2 linked regions of the Styela clava genome follow. The protein of the gene in region 1 interacts with the protein of each later gene in a pairwise test. Links are inferred from orthologs where the notes say so. Each region holds a gene or a part of one and is shown in the gene's direction. Other genes may lie near its edges.

Region 1 (10,773 bases):
GTTATATTCCACTGTTTTCAAAAGATCCGGAACGTCGCGCAATGTGGATATCATCTATTGGCAGGACTGCTTGGTGTCAAGTTCAGAAGCCATCTCACTTGTGTTTCACTGTTTGCGGGCAGCACTTCGTTGATGGTAAGTCATAATGTGCCGTTATCAATTTTTTTGAATATTCATAAGCTCCCTCATTTCAATGGAAAGCAGATGACAAACTACTGTTATTGGTAGGCCTAGGCGTAGGCCTACTTGCAGACTTGACTCGTGTAAGGTATTAATCAATAATTGCCATAAGGTATTGTTTCCCTAGTTAGCAGGTAATCTATTAGTAAGTGTGAAAAGTTGAATAGATAACTAAAGTTTAACGCCAGTGCTAATGCAAAAATAACCAGAATTGAATTCTCCATCTAAGAAAACGCTCGCCACCGCATCTCTGATCCCCCTGGGAGTTTCACAGGTTCCAATCCCATGCGGGGATAGTTATGTGCGAGGGGATTGCAGCTCTCCTCCCACTCTGAGGGTGGTTCACATGACCGCTGGTCGATTACAACATCCCCCATCATCAAGTCCATGCTTCTACAACAAATAACTGGCTAACTAATCCCGACATAGAATGGTAATCGTACGATGTTGCACCTTGCAATCTGTCCCCAACCACAGATAAATTCTATCCTAAAAACTACCCACATTGGTAGGCATAGTTGCGTTTTAAATTGAAAGAAAGCTTCATTAATGGTCAGAAGGTGTTGTCTGATTGTTTCGTTAGTTAGCAGGTAATTTATTACTGATCTGATACACAAACTTGGCACTGTCAAATGATGATTAGTGTTTAATTTATTTTCAGGAAAAAGCGAAGATAACCCATTATCAGCTGCTTATATGTCACATCGATATTTGAATTTTCGCCATCCCCAGAGAGGAAGAGAATAGTTAGAAAAAGGTGGATTTTGAAGAAAGGCAAAAGGCAGGACCATTTCAACAAATTCTGTTAACTTGTATGCGTTGCAATATTAATTTGCAGTTGTTAGCATAAACATTTAATGTGTCTTTCGACTAGATCTAAAAGACCTTCGACTAGACACAAAAAGCCGCCTACACCCCTTTTCACTAGAACCATAATACTGTAAAATATTTGATAGAAATTACCGCCGAGGCATCATATCTTCTATTTGAACAGGCTGTGGAGGCAGATACATTTTTTACTCTAAATTATGGAATGTTACTTCCAGGTTATCTTATCCTTGCTTATAGATATCTTGAGGTTAGTGACTCCAACTGACCCATGCATGCCACACTGAAAATTCTCTTGTGTACCCATAAAATAAGGCTGTTGGAGCCTTCAGACTTTGAAAACAGTCGAATCTGAGCACGATGGATTCATGTGAAACACGTAATATGCATTTAGAGGCAAAATATCCCATCCTGAGCAGCACCGATCCACAACCTCTTGCCTATGGAATCAAAACATTAGACAAATTGGTGTACTGTGCGCATTCACAAATCTTTGCGAATCAAGTGTGCCTTTTGACTAAAGAAAATTTAGCATTGAAATGGTCAATCTCAATATCAACCTAGTATCTGCAGATAAAACCAATTGTTTTTTAAAAATACATTTTTGATGTGCTTTATTTTTCAAATATAATTTATAATTACTGTAAAGTGTGTGATAAATTTGGTACCATGAATACCATTTGCAAATTAGCTCTCAAATAAAAGTTTAGACTTTTAAGTCATATCTCATAATATTCTTTAAACAAAAGGTTGCGGCTAGCCGGCTACCCATCAGAATTTTCTTTCCGATCACAAAGTCGCAATATTACGCCGCGGAAAGTTTCATTGGCAACTGTATCTGGTTGTAGTATCGGTGTCCAACGTTAGACTAAAACCTTTACTACCAGACCCACCGAAATAATTTTTTTTTACTTGATAGGGTCGTCTTGAAGTTGCTTTCGTTAAAGCCCAATGGACACTTTATCTCCACCAATCCACAGTAATCACGAGTTACTTTGTCATTACGATAAGCATCAATAAATGGATACTGAGGATGTATTATCAAGTCACGCAAGCTGAGGTCTTGTGTCACTGTGGTCTTGTTGCAACTTATACTTTACCATCCATCTATTCCATGGTCGCACCCATATCTGTAAGATAATGGATACAGATAGAGTTTTCATGATTTCTAACGATCAAGGAGTGTGAAATTTATGTCCATAGCCCACCACAGCCACTAGTCGTAAATGAATTTGATTCCGGGTAGCATATCTTTTTTAACAATGACAATAAAAAGACACTATGGATCAGTTGTACAAGCACCATTAGGATAGGATTTATCTGGGGGGAGCCAGTTATTTGTTTTCAGAAGCATGGACTTGGATGGTGGGGAATGGTCGTAACCGATCAGCGGTCATGTGAACCACCCTCGGTGGGAGTATGAGCTGCAATCCTCTCGCACATAACTATCCCCGCATGGGATCGAAACCTGTGAAACTACCAGGGTGATCAGAGAGGCGGTGGCGAGCGTATTCCTAGATGGCGAATTCAATTGAATTCTGGTTATTTTTTGCATGACCACTGGTGTTAAACTTTAGTTATCTATTCAACCTTTCACACTTAGTAATAGATTACTTGCTAATTAGGGAAACAATACCTTATAGCAATTGATTATTAATTCTTTACTGTCTTACACAAGTCAAGTCTGCAACTGCAAGTAGGCCCATGCCTAGGCCTACTAAAAACAGTAGTTTGTCATCTGCTTTCCATTGAAATGAGGGATCTTGTGAATATTTAAAAAAATTGATAACGGCACACTATCACCACATTATCACTCACCATCAACGAAGTGCGCAAACAGTGAAACACAAGTGAGAAGGCTTCTGAACTTGACACCAAGCAGTCCTGCCAATAGATGATATCCACATTGCGCGACGTTCCGGATCTTTTGAAATCAGTGGAATATAACTGGAGATCCATTTCGTTGTCTATACTATACGTACAGCCAACGGAACAATACGAAATAACCATTTTCAACAGCCAAACAAAACGGAAACGTATAATCCGACTTGCAACTGACAGGAGCCAAATGGACGTTTTTGTTTTATTGCCGTCCAGTAACAAAGTCACGTGACCCGTGCAAGTCCTCTATATCATTTTCTACTTTCCGTGGCAGGTAGGTAGCGGTTCCGTGAATTTATATGAGTTAGCCTACATGGTTATCAATATGTTTTGATTCATCAACCATATCATATTTTGGTGGCGATACTACTAGTACTTGCGATAGGCCTGGGCAAGGGTGGTAAATACCGGTATGTTTTGCCTCTTGATCCGACAACTTGAGCCTGCGTTGGTGTATGAAAAATGAAATCTAGTCTACTATAAAATTATGTTGCAGTGTTATCTTTAACAAAATACATCTGTGAGGTACCTGATATTACCAACGTGCCGTACCTTTATGTTTCGACTTTTGATCAGACAACTCGATAGGTCTATGAAAAAAAATGGTTTGTTCTGATTTTCCAAACTGGTGCAACGCGAAATTCAATAAAGTCTGGATGGAAGTTTTTGAACGTCCAGTCCAAACTGGATCAATTGATGAATAACTATTTGTTGTTTGTCGAGTTGTTTTGTCGATTTTATTAGATCAATCAATTTTATTTCGGTTACTCTGAAAGAAACAAAACAACAACAAATGGACAAACAAAATGCAGAGGGCCTGAAGGAGATGCGCTTACTTAACGCTAAATTGACCTATGGATCTGATCGCTTTGAAAAATAATAGCTGTTGTTGAACCCAGTGTGTCAACTATTAGAATTCGACTACTTAAGTATATAAGTATAAGTTTATTTCGACTCCATAATCAGCAAAACAATAAAATGAATGCTAAAAATAAATAAATAAAAACTGATTATGAAATCAGGAGAGCGAACAAAACCTTAGATAAGGTTTAAAACGTACAGAATGTATATAAGATGGAAGGTTTTGCCAAGAAGATGTGGTACGTGTTCACTCACCTAAAGTAATTGAAATATTTCACACACGCTCACACGCACCCACACACACAACCATATAGAAGTTATTAAGTAAAGGGAACATGAAAAATTACATACTGGTAGTTAATAAAAAATAAATAAATAAAAATTACTTGCCACACCATATTAATAAATTTATCATGATTGCCACTGCCAAATTGATCAATTTTATAAATGGGAGTGAACAGTAAAGATCCACTTTTATAAAAAAATATATTGTCAAGCTGATTATAGATGGAGTCAAATGCCAAAATGCCCAACCAAAGTTGCCAGAATTGGGTGCATGAAGAGGTGGGCTAGACCACTTCATTGCCCAGACTAGAGCCTATTATTTATTGCCAAATTGTAGACCATAATATACAAGGTATATGTCTCGGAAATACAGAAATTAAAATTTCCTTGTTTGCAGATGACGCAACAGTATATTGTGATGGGTCACAAAAAAGTATTAAAACAGTATTTTCTGAAACCGATAATTTCTTTACCATGTCTGGGTGCAAGATAAATACGAATAAATGCCAAGCATTATACCTGGGTGCAAATAATAATTGGCAAAATTTTCCTATGCAAGACCGAGGACTTCAGTGGAACCCTAGCTGTTTTAAAATTTTGGGCATTAATGTGTGTGGAAATGATACGGATCTTTTTACTGTGAACCTTTTGCCAAAACTTCAAAAACTGAAAATGGTTGCACAAATATGGTCCAAAAGAAATCTAGATTTCCTCGGAAAAATCACTGTGATTAAATCTTTGATGTTGAGCTTATTGGTTTATGTAGTTTCCATCTTACCAGTAATACTGCCCAATAGTTTTATAATGGAAGTAAATAAGATATGCCATGAATTTTTATGGGGTTCAAAATGGGAGAGAATAAAACGTAAGACATTAATTGCACCTGTGAAGGAAGGGGGGGTCAATATGCTTGATGTGGAATCATTTCTCATTGGTCAAAAATTAAGATGGGTTAAATGTTTAATAAATGACGAAATTGATGTCTCATGGAAATCCATAGAAATGTTTTTCTTGAATTTGTATGGAGGAAAGGCTTTATTTTATGGAAATGTATATCCGCATGGAGTGTATATCAAAAATATGTATTCCAGATGTTTGAGAGATACTCTGTACTATTGGTTTATTTTCAAATCCAAGATTATTAGGGATGTAAGTCATTTACATGAACCTTTGTGGTTTAATAAAAATATAACTTGCAAAGGAAAACTTTTATATATGGATGATTGGAATAGTAAATATATTTGTTTCGTTGAAGATATTTGTGATTCTAATCAGCAACTTGCAATGTTTCCGTATGTTTTTCATCATTATTGTTTTTCTAGTTTTTATGATGACATGCTAGCGTATTTAAAAATTATATCATGTATAACCCAGCAATGGAAAACTAATTTATCAAAAACCTCACCAGTCAATCCACATCTTAGTCTTATCGAAGATATTAAAAGCATTGATAAAACGTCTCGATATATTTATGATAAGCTTTGTAATGAAAAAATTTTGCCGCCAACTGAAAAAATAGAAAAATGGTCAAAAGAATTGTGCAGGAACTTAGATGATTGGTTTACATTGTATGAAAAAGTTTTTTATTGCTCTATTGAATCCAGACTTCGTTCATTCCATGTCAAATTTGCCTTGCGAGCAGTGCCCACTAATGACCTGCTATATAGAATAAATAAAACACAAAGTCCAAAATGTACATTTTGTAATATGCATGTTGAAACCGTGTTACATTTATTTTATCTCTGTGAATTTGTGCAGCAATTTTGGGAAATAGTTAACGCTTGGCTAACCGTTGAGTATGGATTAAACTTCAATTTGACACATAGAGAAATGTTATTGGGGGTAGGGCAAAATCAGGGTATAAACTGTGTTTTATTATGTGCCAGATATTTTATATACAAATGTAAACTGCGTAATGAAAGGCCTCAATTTTGCCAATTTTTATATATGATAAAAAATATTATAAACTGTGAAAAGATTATTGCAACTAAAAATGGTAAACTGTCAATCCATAATAAGAAGTGGAAAACTATTGTGTGCTCGTTTTTTTAAAATGCAATTGTATTTGTGCTATTGTGTCTATATAAATGTGTTGTGATAATGTGATGTTTTTATTAATAAAAAAAAAAATGTAAACAAAAAAAAAAAAAAAAAAAAAAATTGTAGTCCAGATTGCAATAAGTATTTAAATCCATCAGTAACTTTATAAGTATGAGTAATTATAATTAATTAAGGTAGAAAGATAGGGTATATGAATATGTTGGTTGCTAAGGTTATAAGGTTTTTTTTTTCATTCTTAGATATTGACTTCTGCAAAGATAAAGGAATTAGGAATAAAGGAATTAGTATTGTTATTTCACAGGATCATTTCTTCATTTAATTATTGTGGCGTAATAGATTCAAGTTTATCGTGGATGAGACATCAGCCTGCGAATTTTGTTGTTGTAGACACCATTTTATTCAATAAACTAGCCATTGTATTGATCATCACAGAACGACCTGAAAAACAGAAAACAAATCTGCGAGTAGGATATTCAAGGGTTAGCTCTTTATTACAATGTGAGTATTGGTTGATTAAATACCGGTGTTCAGTTAATCATACAGCGAAACGACTGCAGACAATGCCGCATTTGAAAGCCGGTAAATTTACATGCCTAGGGCGACGCTTACACTGCTGTCGATGATAGAGGAATAGAACGAGCTTATACAGAGACCACCCAAGCGAGTCGCCTAAGTAAATAAGGTATAGCGTAACAGTCTGCTGCAGGTGTAGGTTCTGGTTTGAATGCGATGTGTATGTTCTGTTCATCGTTGCTGTAATTTTAGCTGTGTCATGACGGCGTAGGGTTAGCAAAGATTGTGTAATGTCTGAATGTACGTTGTTTGCTGCCTCTTCTGCAAGCTGACGGTTCTACTGTTTTGTGTGGGGTTAACGGTATAGTTGGCAGCTGGATTTACTTCTTGTTATAATAGATAAACAGATATTATGGCGGAATATTCAGTCAATGGGAATATTGCGATTATAAAGCTAAGCAATGGTAAATTGAACCCACTCAGCGAATCTGTGAGGACGGGTATCAAGTTGTATTTAAAAAAGGCCTTGGATGACCAAACAGTCGAAGCCATAGTTTTACGTGGAAGCGAAAAACATTTTTCAGTCGGCGCTGACATTTCAGAATTTGGAGGGGATTCCATCAAAACACATTTGGGCGATGTCTGTGACGAGATTGAAGCCAGTAGAAAACCAGTCGTGGCTGCGATTCATGGTTACGCCCTTGGTGGAGGTTTTGAGATTGCGCTGTCCTGTCATTATAGAGTCGCCAGTTCAGATGCTGTTGTGGGTTTCCCGGAAGTAAAGTTAGGAATACTTCCGGGTGCAGGTGGAACGCAGAGATTTCCTCGAATCGCTGGACTAGATGCTGCAATGCAATGGATCACTACAGGAAAACAGTACTCGGCCAATACTGCAGCAAAACTTGACGTTATTGATCGAATTATTTCGAAAGGGACTGATGTTATCAAAGAGTCGATTGCTTTTGCTCGAATTGTGGCGACTAAGTCTCTATTAGGAAGAAGATCAGCTGATAGAAGAGTCAAAGATGCCGACTGTGTGGATGAAATTGCAGCAAAATATACGCAAATTGTGCATAAAAAGTCTCGAGGTCAATACGCCCCGATTTATTGCATAGAAGCTGTAAGATATGCTGCGCAAAGCACCCTGGCTGAAGGATTGAAAAAGGAATCTGAAATTATATCGATGCTGGGAAAATCTGGCCAAGCAATTGCTCTAAGGTATGCATTCTTTGCAGAAAGACAAGTGCAAAAATGGAGCGTTCCTGGAAGTGATATATCATGGCATAACTCCAAACCTATGCCTGTAAAGCTCGGTGCCGTTATTGGTCTCGGTACAATGGGGCGAGGAATTGTCATAAATTTCCTTCGTGCTGGGATTCCAGTTATTGTTATAGAGATGAACGAAAAGTTTCTCAGTGCTGGTATGAAATCAGTACATGCACTCATTGACGACATGGAACGCCATCAAAAGATCACTAAGCAGCAAAATGCAATGATGAAAAAGGCCGTGACTGGTACTTTGAATTATAACGATTTAAAAAATGTCGATCTAGTCATTGAAGCTGTTTTTGAAGAGATCTCACTTAAAGAAAAAGTTTTCAAAGCGCTGGATAATGCTTGCAAGCCTTCTGCGATACTGGCCTCGAATACCAGCGCTCTAGATATTGACAAAATTGCTTCTTTTACCAGAAGGCCCCAAAAGGTGATGGGAATGCACTTCTTTGCTCCAGCTAACTTGATGCGCCTCTTGGAGAATGTCATGGGATCGAAAACTTCTAGTGAGACAATCGCAACTTGTATGGACATGGGAAAGAGAATGGGTAAAGTCACCGTACTTGTTGGTAATTGCTACGGCTTCGTTGCCAACCGAATGTACTTTAATTACAAAGCTGAGTCCTGGTACCTCGTCGAAGAAGGCTCGTTGCCAGTGGAAGTCGACAAAGCAGTAAAAGATTACGGATTCGCAATGGGGGCATATGTTGTGGATGACCTTTCAGGCCTCGATCTTGGATATCGTATGCGGACTGCGTTTGGGTTGACACCAAAACAGCAAATTCCTGGAACCCAAGAGAACGTTCGAAGTGGATTGAGATACTGCCCATTGCCTGATTATCTTGTAGAAGTCGGACGGTACGGTCTTAAGACGAAGAAAGGATGGTACGATTACCCTAACGGCAGAATTCCTGTTGAGTCAGGCGAAGTGTCGAAAATTATCAGCGATTACCGGAGTCGTATTGGAGCTACTGCGCGTAAAATTGATCATGAAGAAGTGATCGAAAGATTGGTGTTCGCTCTCGTCAATGAGGGTTTCAAAGTTCTTGATGATGGAATCGCAGCCTCTCCTATGGATATAGATATGATCTGGATACACGGATACGCTTTCCCAAGTCACACCGGTGGTCCTATGCACTATGCAAGTAAAATTGGCCTTCCGAAAGTTCTGGCTCGTATAAAGCATTATTATGAAAAGTTTGGAAATGTGGTGCCACAGTGGACTCCTAGTCCAATGCTAGAACGCATCGTGGAGAAACGCGGGGATCTTGATATGAGCCAATGGATGCAGTACTCTAGCGCCACCAAGACTAAAAGTAATCTGTGATATCACTATGACAACATATTCTTTAATTTTGTTAGAAATTAAATGCAATTTATCTTTGAATCTTCATATCGAATTTAATTCGTTTATTTTTGCTTTTATCAAGTTGAATATTAAGTCAGAAACGTCATGGATAAATCATTTGCTTTATTGAGAGTACCAGACTCTGTCGCCTGCCTAATTTTGTTGAGTGCTATACATCTTCATTATGTACCCCCTTTGATCCTTTATGCATGCTGGACTGCCATGTTCTCTCATTTTTGTTCTGCCATTTTATGTGGAGTTTGCCGTGATTGCAATTTGGCATCTATGCATAATTTGAAGCCATATTCTCCAAAATTTTTAATTAAAAATTACAGGAGTTTGAAAATCAATAATGTGCATTTTCTCAGGGCACCTTTTTCAAGTTTCGCCCTTCTGCGTTTAAGCTCTTGATACTAAAATGTGTCGATTTGATAACGTCTATCCAAAGTCTATCAGTATTAAATTTGAAATATCTATTCATATCATTGTATATCTTAGTCATTGAAATAGATCAGTGGTTGGTTCTCAACCTTAATACCTTTCTCATGCAATGGAAAAACTACAAGAAAAATAAAAAATATAGAGTCTTCCACTTTTATAATTGAAATGTAAATTACTACTCAGAAGCAGAAAACAGCATCATTCATTGCTGCTACAATCAAAATTAAATTATTTATCAATCAATAACTCTAGCAATTTTAATAGATTTGTGGACCATGCCCCACTGGTTAAGAACCGGCGATCTAGTTTAAAGCATTCGATACCGATATGCGCCCTCAGCAATTTGATTACAGCATTCCAACATCTATCTGTACGCATTTATAATTTCATTATATTCAAAAATTAGGTTCATATTATTGAATTTCTTATTCATTGATTTATGGCAGCTTTTTGATCTTTTTTTTTCGATGCAATAATTTTTTATTATATATCATTAAAATTTAATTTATATCTGAAATAAAATTGAAATCAAAATTAAGTCAATTTTTTTTTTTATCTCATTATTAGAGTTCTACCCCAGTTGTGGAAATCAGTGCTCATTTTTGGGTACTCCCCGAAGTATGTGTACCAGGTTAGGGTTAGTTGGGCCATAATTTTATACAAATTTTCCTTATTTTAGTTCTATTACGAGTTTGGCGACTGTCTGTGTTAACTAGGTGAATATCCCCCTGTCCATAGGTTTCAGTACCTTTACATAACTTTATGTAAAATAGGCGAACAAAATTAGTTATCTCCATATTGGTACACACACTTCTGGAGCACCCATTTTTGATATGAAGAAAAGAAACCTTTTTACATTTTAGAAAGTGTCAGTAGGATGGCCAACGCTTATTCCTATCCATTTTGTGGTGTTCAAAGGTAGCTGTATCTCTTTTTGAGTGGGTTTCATTCAGTCGTGGAATTTTAAAACATGCTATCTTTTGATTCGAACACACTGACACAACAGTTGCCTCATTTGATAAATATACCTCTGCCACTACTACCCACTACATAAGCTACATTAAAATGCGACATACTTCATCTGGTAAATCAGGTCCGGAAAA
Region 2 (10,388 bases), on another chromosome or scaffold:
ATGTATGCCAAGTATGTATACGAATGTGGATATGCCCACTAGGTTAAGTTGTTGAGCAGAGACAAGATTATGCTCACTGCCGGTTCATCTTTATGCATTATACAGATATGTCTTAAAGCTTTACATTAAACTTCTCGCAAGATATACCCATCCGTGCAATTATTTTTCTTTTCGTCGTTTCTTTTCTGGTTCGCGTTTGTTTAGAAGCTTTTTTTTAATTGATTTACAGCCTTTTTCTTTTCCATATATATTGTTTTCTTTGAAATCACTTACATTGCTTATTGAAAGTGATTCTGAAGATGGTGCGGTATAGTCTGTTGACTTATCTGAAACTTTGGTCAAATATACATGCATAAGTCACAAAACATCATCACAGTGTTTTAGTCCAATTCAGAATTACGCTACTCTTGATTGATCGAACAAACGAAATGTTTGAAATGGATAATTGCATTATTACTCAAATAAACCAGAGTTTCTAAACGGTGCACTACAATTATTCGTAGATAGCTGCGCTATTTGTGATGGGCTACAAATGATATTATGATTTGGTTTATTACCATTCATTGGTATCAATTTACGATACTGTATTTAATAAAAAAACAAGCATAGCAAACTCATTTAGTCACCTCCTGGCACAGCTTCCTCCGAATCACTACCCGCATTTCCGCCTGCCAAGTTCTGAAACGTAGGCCATCTCGTTGGAGAGTCACCTACATGTGAACAAAAAAATACAGCCCGGTGAATAACTAGATGAAGATGGTAAAATAACACAGGGACATGTGCCAAATCACAAAACAAAATTGCTAGCAATGCAATTCTTCAAAACTGTTTTCCGAAGATGAAATATTCTAATCTAATATGAAGCGGTGTATTAGATATTTTTATTTACACCAAGCTATACAAACGTCAATTACTCGCTTCTCGTATATCCTTCTGTTTCGACAAAAAATTGAATTCATTGAATTTCCACAATCTTCGTTTGTATTTTCATCAGGATTTAGAAATCCTTCTGAATTACACACTCTTACAAACGCAAACCCAGTCGTAGCATTATTTTGATGGTCAGATCAGAACTACGACCAGTAAAAGCATAACAGTATCAGTAGTCTATATTTTGATAATCTGGATTACGTGAAAAATCTCAACACCAAAAATATAGTAACCCTAGTATTAAAAATCGTTATGACTAATCACCTTATCCGATGAGTGATGATTTCCAGCAGCATTCCTCGGTGACGTTGAAATCCTTGCTTATTATGACTCGACTTCAACTCACTGGGTAACTGATAACACCTGACACAAAAGACTTGGATCGCTTCTCCAAACACAACTGTTCTATTTTATCTAAATTTCGGCAATCACGCACTCATGAAGATCCCAATCCCCTCACGGCGTCCAGGTTACTTGCGAACAAAACGGCAAACGTGGTAAAGTTCTCGGCGAACCCGACAGTTTTACTATTGCGACACAAAGCCTCTTTAGTACGGAGTTGTGAATTGGGGTCCTTTACAGTTTATTGAGCTTATATTGCAAAAAACAAAACGGACGATCTTCATGTTCTGCCTGGTTATTGTATCAAAATTATCAAACCTACTCTCCAAAAATCGTAAAAACATATACCGAAAAATTAAAAGATTTTTGAATAAATAAAATGTCCACTTTATGTACGAAAATTAAACCCGTTGATTATAAACCAGCAGAACTACTGTCCCATTAAAGTTGGCGAAAATGTGCACTAATTTAAAAAATATTGAAAGAACATATTATTTGTGATACTGTTTTATCAGAGAAAAAGAGATTTCAGCAAAATATCGCAAAACGTTTTAATTATGGAACGTGGAATAATTAAGCGGACAGGAAAATGTCTACCCAATTTTTCCGTCTACATAACTGTCGCTTTTTTAGCACGGTATGTCTACTTAACTACCGTATTAGATATATATATATATATATATATTTCAAACTGTCGAACCTGGTTCTGCGAATGTTTTAATGTAAAGTAGATATATATCTATTGTTTTTCAAGAAGGATTGGATTTTAACGACAAATTTGGGTAACATGAAATTCTGAAGCATATTACATTTCCCCACATTTACATTAATATATAAGTCATATCTCAGTACCAACAAAGCGCAGTTTAAGTGTATTACCCAAACATATACCCAAATTTTCATCTACACACCTAAGCATGATTTCTTATTATACGGTAGGAAGCATAAATTTATTTTAAACCCAAATGTCCGTGAAAACAAGAAATCACCGATGGGCGATGATGCTTAGTAATCCACTAGTAAGCGTGAATGTATTAATTGATCAATTCTTGACGTCACCTAGAGCAATTATCAATATTAGAAGTGCTTGGTCATTTTGTTGATGGTTTTTCGCCAATTACGCATATCTGCACTGTATCAGTGACAAGACACTTTTTGTATGTCAGATAAATCTTAAAATATCAGAGAAAAATCTTTATTCTCTAAAAGGCTATCAGGTTCAAACGGAGGCCACAAATATTCTTAAAAATAGGATGAACAATTTAGCAAGTAATCAAAATATTCGCTAAGACTTGGTACCGCTAACGGTTAACGTGATTTTGATTAAAAATATTTAAAAGATACATCATAGGTGCAAAGACATGGCCAAATAAAATTCAGCTACAATTAAGCTCTATCATATGAAATGAACTTAACAATACAAATTGTTGACGAATTAATGCATGTTTTCAGAAAACATAAAAGGGCTGTTTTTAAGCAAAATACCTATGCACCTTGAGCAGTGTTTATTGAAAACGATTCACGTCGAATATTTTTTGAGGAGATCTTGACGTGAATTTCTAGATTCAATACTTATTTCTTGCCATATATATATTATAAAAATACATACCGGTATATATGAGAAATTGAATTCCGGTTGAACCGTTATCACACATAAGATTGCCAAAGCTCTTGTGTTGGATGGATACATACACCCAAATCAAAGCAGGACCGTTGACTTCTAACACAGTGCTATGTTCTGAACTTGTCGGCGAAGTTTCAAAATTCCCTGCAATTAGTTGAACTGATGGCGGGGATTGGTCTTTTTAGGAATAGCGGACTGATGCCGTACGTTTCATCATGACTTCCCGTTCTGAGCAGCCGCCCGTTAGGTAAAGGGCATGCGAGATTCTCAGAAAAAAAAACTGATGAAATACTGTAATAGAATTACGGTACGTACATGCGATAAAACAAAAGCATGATAGGGCGCATTAAAGTATCTGCACAGTATGTTCCCCAGCTTTTCTCTTTAGGGGGGGTGTTTAAAAATTTAGGGGGTGGTAAATAATTTGCTATTAGAGATAAAACTAGGCTATTTGTATTCTTAAAAAAAATGGTATGTATTTAAGAAACGATGTACATGGGGGCCCCCCAAGTTGATTGACGGCCAGCCAAAATCCACAGCAGAATGAAATTGTAGGGCCAGAAAAGGGGAGCAAGGAAAAGTGCGGGACGACACGGCTGGGGTTCAGGGCGCGCTCAAGCGCCCTGAGAAAATTTTGAGAAATAGGCACCAAAATAGGCTCTAAGCTTGATTTTAGATACACATAGCATCGCAGTTTGTTATGCAATAAAATCAATATTTATAAAATTTAGCTGATAGAATTCCCGAGGAATAGATAACAAGCACGGCTTTCAACCGTAAATATATACTACTACGTTTCAACAAGTAATTTGCAACTGATAGTGACTAATGAAGTTACTCGCTCATCTGGCATTGTATGAATGGCTACTTATGGCTTGTTTTGTTACACATTTCTAATTTTTTTGAACATGTTTGTTTGACTTTTGTATGAATTAAATTTTGAAATACGCTCGTCAACTGATCATAATGTCGCTATGTTGTATTCCTTCACAACTGAAATATTTTGTAAGAAAACAAATCGCTGAAGTTTGATTCTTTTCAATAAAGAAATAAAAACGCTGTCATTCATCTAAAAAACGTCTGTTTTCAGTGCCTAGTTTTTGTTTTGTGACATCTTTAAGCTTTCTTAATATATGGCTGATATCTAAAATAATGCAGTGTGTAATCATAATACCCATACCTATACATAAGATACCGGAATAATCCAATTGTTACGAAATGAACGTGCTTAAACTGTGATAATGATGTAACAATAGATGGTATCTAAAACTGGAAAGGTACCACATGAAGGGTTAAACTATTTCACTCAAGTTCGGCGGGCCATTTTAAATCGTCACGCGGGCCGTAGTTGGCCCGCAGACTGCGGTTTAGAACCCCTCAGTGTGGAATCGCACCTCAAAATTAGGGGGGGTGTTTGAAATTTTAGGGGGGGTGTTCACCCCCTATAGGGGGGGTGTAGGGAAATCACTGTATCTGCACGTTTTGAGTTACGACCTTAACAGTCTTTGTTTGAACCAAAATGCCATAGCCATATGTATTATTAGACACGTAGTGGACCTATGGGTCGTTTTGGTATTTTTGTTGTTGTTGTTCTTGTTATTCTTGTTCTTTTTATTGATAGGATGAAAGTGCAATCGTGAATTATCATTTTTATTCACGAGAGTGCATCTATATGCAAATTGTTCACAAAGCAAATATGTATATTATATATTAAAAACAAAAGGGATTAGGCATATTGTTAGCTGTGACTAGGTTCAACAAAATTCCATTGCGGCTAGCTTTGTATCGCACTCGAAAGTGATGGTGGTAAATATCACCCGACGCTCGTGTGTAGGTACCACCGATGTTATTGATATGAACGTGAAAGTGCAGCGCAAATGAGTTCGACTCATTGAAAAATGGGCTGATAATATTAAAATTGCCTATGAAAATTATATATAACAATATAAATAATTTGATGATTGGCTAGAGTATACTAAGAATATTCAATATTTTTTTTGAATTTTATGTTTTTCAGTTATTTCTCATTTATCCGCTTTTTTTATTGTGCGGTTGCGTTCATGGTAGCTTCAAAATCTTTTTTTCTCGGGTATTCTGTCATTTTTTTTTACATCGCTGTTTAGTTCACGTGCGTGTTTGTTATGTAAGGAATGCATAGTCTTATCTGAACTCAGTCTACCCAATAGAAGGGATATCGCGTTGCAAAATTCGAGAATCGCGCAATATTTTTATTAATGGCCCATACATGATTGATGTAACCAACTTACTAATGCGCATGATCGCACGTGCAATGAATCAGCAAATTTCTGCATCGCTACATTGGAGATTTTTTTCCCCGTCTCGCTGAACTACAAGGAAAATATGGCTTAGTTTTCGGTATATATATATGGCGTGCACTGCATGGGAGCTGCATTCAAATAACTTCAGGTCTTTGCCGTTAAATCGTTAAATGATAAATGATAGATATGAAGGTATAGGAGCTGGGTTATCATAAGTCAGTAAGTCGATTTTATTTGTGAAAAGAAAAAGATAAGATTATGCGTGTTTGCATGGATATCGTATTTCATGAGTTGTTATTCTGTTATTGTAGAACCAAGCAGAGTTAAATAATTAGCTGGTATCAAACAAGTATCGCACTGTATAGGCTATTCGCGTGATTTTGTGCCAGTTTGTAACATACACAAAGTTTGTGAATAAGGTTAATATTTAACTGATTATTTCGTTATTGCTGGTTCGTTCTCTAGAATACGGTACCCTTTGCTATCGCCGCAGTAGACAAAATTTGCGTCTGACAATTCGACTACGTGATGTTCCTACAGACAGATATGAACATGTTCTATATTAATTTGTTAGAATGTCTGAATGCTGACATTGTGTGATTGTGGGAATAAAATTTCTCTCTCTTTCTTTGATGCTGCACTCTAATATTGTTATAAATTTACATCATATTGCAGTAGACTATTGCCGTCATGATCACTCTCTTCCATTCAATAACTTTTATTTTAATATAAAGAGATGTTTTTGAATTAATCTTAAATATAAAATAGTGAAATGAAGTACAGAAATAGATATAGTCTACCGGTACTTTAAACATTGTTTATTTTGACATATTTTATCAGATCAATAACGAAAACCTGTAAATCTTATATTACTAAACGAGCTCTTTAAAGAACAACATGGCATCCCCACGATCTAAAGCTGCTGACCAATTGAAAGAATATGCCACAGCCACAAAGGTTTGTTTTATGTTTTAATCTTGTATAATTGTCATGTTTCCAGGTTTCAGTCATTGGCTTTTCAAATATTCTGATATTGTCAACAATGCAAAAATTTACAGCTATAATATGAATATTGTTATGAAAGTAATATTTTTTTTAAGTAAATCTTAGTCAATACTTGTCTGGAGCCTTATGATGCCAGTGTGAGAAAGCAAAAAAATTTCGAATCAAAATTGTAATTTAAGTGTTTATCTCACACCTCATAATTTTGACAATTCATGATCATTGGAGACTCTCTCCTTGAAATTAACATTAATTTTTTATTGTATGGAAAGTTAGGTTATGTTGAATTTTACTGAAAAAAATGATTTTCCTGTAATAAATCTACTTATAATTCAAAATTGAAAATGATTTCAAGTCAGAATTACGAAATATCCAACAATGGGGATACTAATCCATATATTGGTATGATTAGTTTAGATACTAGTTATGCTGCTCATACATCCTTTCGCCAGTTGAAAAGGAAATTAAGCTATATGATATCTTCGGAAGTTGGTAAATTGCAGGATATACATATTACATGATGCTATGCTTCCGTTGCCTATATTACTGCCCATATGGATTATCTATCAATATAATTCTCTTAATTTTGTGCTCACTGTGAGTAAAACTTAATGATACAACAGAACACTTGATAATATACAAAAACAATCCTTAAAATTTTTTCGTGCTCATGGTTTTGAACCTTAATTATATGTATATAATTGTTTTGTCTAGAATGGTGGAGCTCTTACCTCCAGCACTGGGGCACCAATTGACCAGAAGTTGCAGTCAATGACGGTTGGACCAAGAGGGCCAATGCTTTTGCAGGTATTCTTTGATGGTGTTTGTCGAATCCTTATATATTTTTTATACATTGAAAAACTTAATATATCGCCGGATGAGAACAGAACAGGCCTAAGTCACAATTTTGAGTTTTGAGAAAAACGTACAAAACAATTTGGAATTTTTTTATTTTTGAATTTCTAGATATTCACACTTAGTAAAGACCTGAGCTCTGGTTATTTTAATGTGGATGTGAATATCTTTGTAATCAATATTTTTTGGCACTTCAGCTTCAATTCCTTCCTGCTTTTTTAACCCCATAATGGACTTTGGCCCATTCTGTTCTCAACAACTTCTGAATTTTTTTGTATGGGATGCAAGGTAAAACAAGGTGACTTAGGCCTAGGTTGCACTGAAGAAATTTTTAGGGATGTTAGTTTCGGACATTTCATTTCTGATGTTCATGCCCATCATATTGGAACTTGGGACTATCTTTTTCTAGTATTTTGGGGTTTTGAGCCATACTCTACAAGGTGGTGGTCTTGAAATTCTGAATTTCATAATATTAAAAATTTTAGCTGGACTTAGGCCCATTCTGTTCTTAACTTCTACAGGCCTAAGTCCAGCTTAAATTTTTATTATTGAGAAAATTCAGGATTTCAAGACCACCACCGTGTAGAGCATGGCTCAAAACCCCAAAATATTGAAAAAAGTGAATTTTGCAAAAATGTGACTTAGGCCCCTTCTGTTCTCATTCTGCGATATGTCTCACTCTCGTATTTATTCAATAGGGCCTATATTAACGAATACAATATATTGGTTATTTTGACTCCCTTATCCGAATATACAGGTAACATCCCTCGCGTCATAATATTTGAATTATTATTTTACGATCAAATTTTATTTTATAGGATTTTGCATTCACTGATGAGATGGCACACTTCAACCGAGAAAGAATTCCGGAGCGTGTTGTGCATGCTAAAGGAGGAGGTGAATACTTTAGTTTTATTTAAAGTGAAAATATATAAAGCTGTTTGTCATTACCACATGTCATTTTCAAATTCAATTTTTTCAAATATTGTTTTTGATATAAATTGTCTGTGCATAAAATCAAACATCCATGTTTTTACTTTCTTGCAATTGCCGTAGATTTAATTCAATTGATTTATAACAGGTGCCAAAGGGTATTTCGAAGTCACCCATGACATCACAAAGTACTGCAAAGCTAAGATATTTGAAAAGGTTGGAAAAAGAACTCCACTTGCTGTTCGATTCTCAACTGTGGGTGAGGTATTTTCATATATATCGAAATTTAAATACAGTAGTGAAACATACACGATTCACAATTTTCAAATTGTACTGGATTCAATGTATTTGAATGCAATTGTATTTTGTGCTGGTAGCCTTTACAATTATGAATAGTATTGTCTATATCCTTGTGAAATTTTCATTGTAGCACACTAATAACGTTTGTTCTTTTTAGTGAGTTACTACTTAAAAATCAGGCTTAAATAGCAACTAGTAGGATGTTCAAGACTACTGCGTACTGCTGCTTATTATCAATATTTTGAAAAGTTCTTCCTGTTTTGCATATTATATTACCGTAATTTTGTCTCATCACGCTCAGATGCATTGTCTCGTTCAGTTTTGTAATTTTGGCATATTATTATTTTATTGCATAATTGAATTTCTCGTATTGACTGCAATTTCGAAAATGCACATACCGTAAATGTATTCAGTGAAAGCATCAAATATATTTGAATGTATTTTTGAGTTTGTATTTATTGAATGAAATCAAAATGCCTGGATTAAAAAAAAAATTGTGTTTGAAAATTCTAGATACATATTTTTGACATACCCCAAGTAGAATATACCAGTGTACATTGCAATATTTATTTTTCATATGTTAGTGTATGAGTAAAATTCTAAACATCTAATTATCATTCAAAGGGGGTGAAGCTGGAAGTGCAGATACTGCCAGAGATCCTCGTGGATTTGCAGTAAAATTTTACACTGAGGATGGTAATTGGGATTTGGTTGGTAACAATACACCTATCTTCTTCATTAGAGATCCCATCTTTGTGAGTTTTGTTTTTTACTAGATATTTATCAACTATTATTTGATATGATGTAAGATGATTTGATGTATATGATTCTATTGATTATTGAATAACCTAAGTGATTCAAGAGTCTTGCTGCACACTAACGTAAATATATTTCTGTAACGTTTCGTCTGACCAAGGTCAGACTTCCTCAGACACTATTGTCTATTGCCAATAGTTCAACTGTGAACTACGTATGTCTGAGGAAGTCTGACATTGATCAGATGAAACGTTACAAAAATAAATTTGTATTAGTGTGCAGCAAAACTCTTGAATCACTTAGGATAGTTATGCAACAGCATCCTCGCATTATATGCATACCGATCCACCGGCGCGGAAACATAGAAGATGAAGAAGTAGTTAGTATCGTAGAAACCCAATCGATAGCACAGATTATTAAATATTTCGGATTTGAACAAAGATTTAACACAGCATTTATTACCCTTTGAATTTTTCCTTTCCAGTTCCCATCGTTCATTCACACTCAGAAAAGAAATCCTCAAACTCATCTTAAAGATCCAGATATGTTTTGGGATTTCATTTCACTTCGTCCAGAGACGACTCACCAGGTATCATTAACAATACTATTTATTAAGTCATCATATAAAATAAAAATGAATAAATAAGGATAATTTTTAGAAATAAATAGAGAACAGAGAAGTTATAATTATAGACATATCGGTGAGAGGAAATCAGAATTTCACTTTTTTAATCATTGTCAGGTTGCATTCCTGTTCAGTGACAGAGGAACTCCTGATGGATATCGCCACATGAATGGATATGGAAGTCACACATTCAAGATGGTCAATAAGGATGGAAAACCAATCTACTGCAAATTCCACTTCAAGGTTTTTTTATTTGTAATTCTTTATGGATTAACTAGATGTAAACTCTATGGACACCTATTTTGCAATGCGAAAGTTTTCAATTCTAATTTTACAGAATGGAGAGTTGAAGCAAATTCTTTATTGTATATCTTTTTTGTTGAAATATGATGAAACGATTAAATAAAATCAGTGTAAAATAAAAAATTCAATGAGCCTTTTTATTTAGTGTGACCAAGGCATCAAAAATCTGATGGCTGATAAGGCAAATGAACTTGCAGGAAGTGACCCAGACTATGCCAACAGAGATCTCTTCAATGCCATTAGCGAAGGAAATTTCCCATCATGGACTTTCAAGATTCAGGTAAAGTAGAATTATAAAAAAGTACTTTAACCAATCATGATGGAATATTATAGTATGTACAAAATCCAATCCATCAAGGTAGTACTGTACCTTGAAAAAGGTATAAAATGAAATGTTTATTGTCAAAATAGCATCCCGGGCAGCGCTTACCTAGAATTG

The links.
Region 2: the proteins of peroxisomal bifunctional enzyme-like (region 1) and catalase-like interact in a two-hybrid assay, tested with the Homo sapiens proteins (2 studies listed by BioGRID, with this or other methods). The link is inferred for Styela clava from reciprocal best matches to the Homo sapiens genes EHHADH and CAT.

Annotation. Positions count from the first base shown.
Region 1 is NC_135257.1:18,679,587-18,690,359, reverse strand, and holds peroxisomal bifunctional enzyme-like, read left to right. Parts: upstream 1-6,746; 5' UTR 6,747-7,021; coding exon 7,022-9,208; 3' UTR 9,209-10,206; downstream 10,207-10,773. UniProt on the Homo sapiens protein: Peroxisomal trifunctional enzyme possessing 2-enoyl-CoA hydratase, 3-hydroxyacyl-CoA dehydrogenase, and delta 3, delta 2-enoyl-CoA isomerase activities. Catalyzes two of the four reactions of the long chain fatty acids peroxisomal beta-oxidation pathway.
Region 2 is NC_135255.1:1,208,053-1,218,440, reverse strand, and holds the start of catalase-like, read left to right. Parts: upstream 1-5,374; 5' UTR 5,375-5,394; intron 5,395-6,015; 5' UTR 6,016-6,072; coding exon 6,073-6,132; intron 6,133-6,891; coding exon 6,892-6,984; intron 6,985-7,850; coding exon 7,851-7,929; intron 7,930-8,113; coding exon 8,114-8,224; intron 8,225-8,889; coding exon 8,890-9,020; intron 9,021-9,505; coding exon 9,506-9,610; intron 9,611-9,763; coding exon 9,764-9,889; intron 9,890-10,094; coding exon 10,095-10,229; intron 10,230-10,388. UniProt on the Homo sapiens protein: Catalyzes the degradation of hydrogen peroxide (H(2)O(2)) generated by peroxisomal oxidases to water and oxygen, thereby protecting cells from the toxic effects of hydrogen peroxide.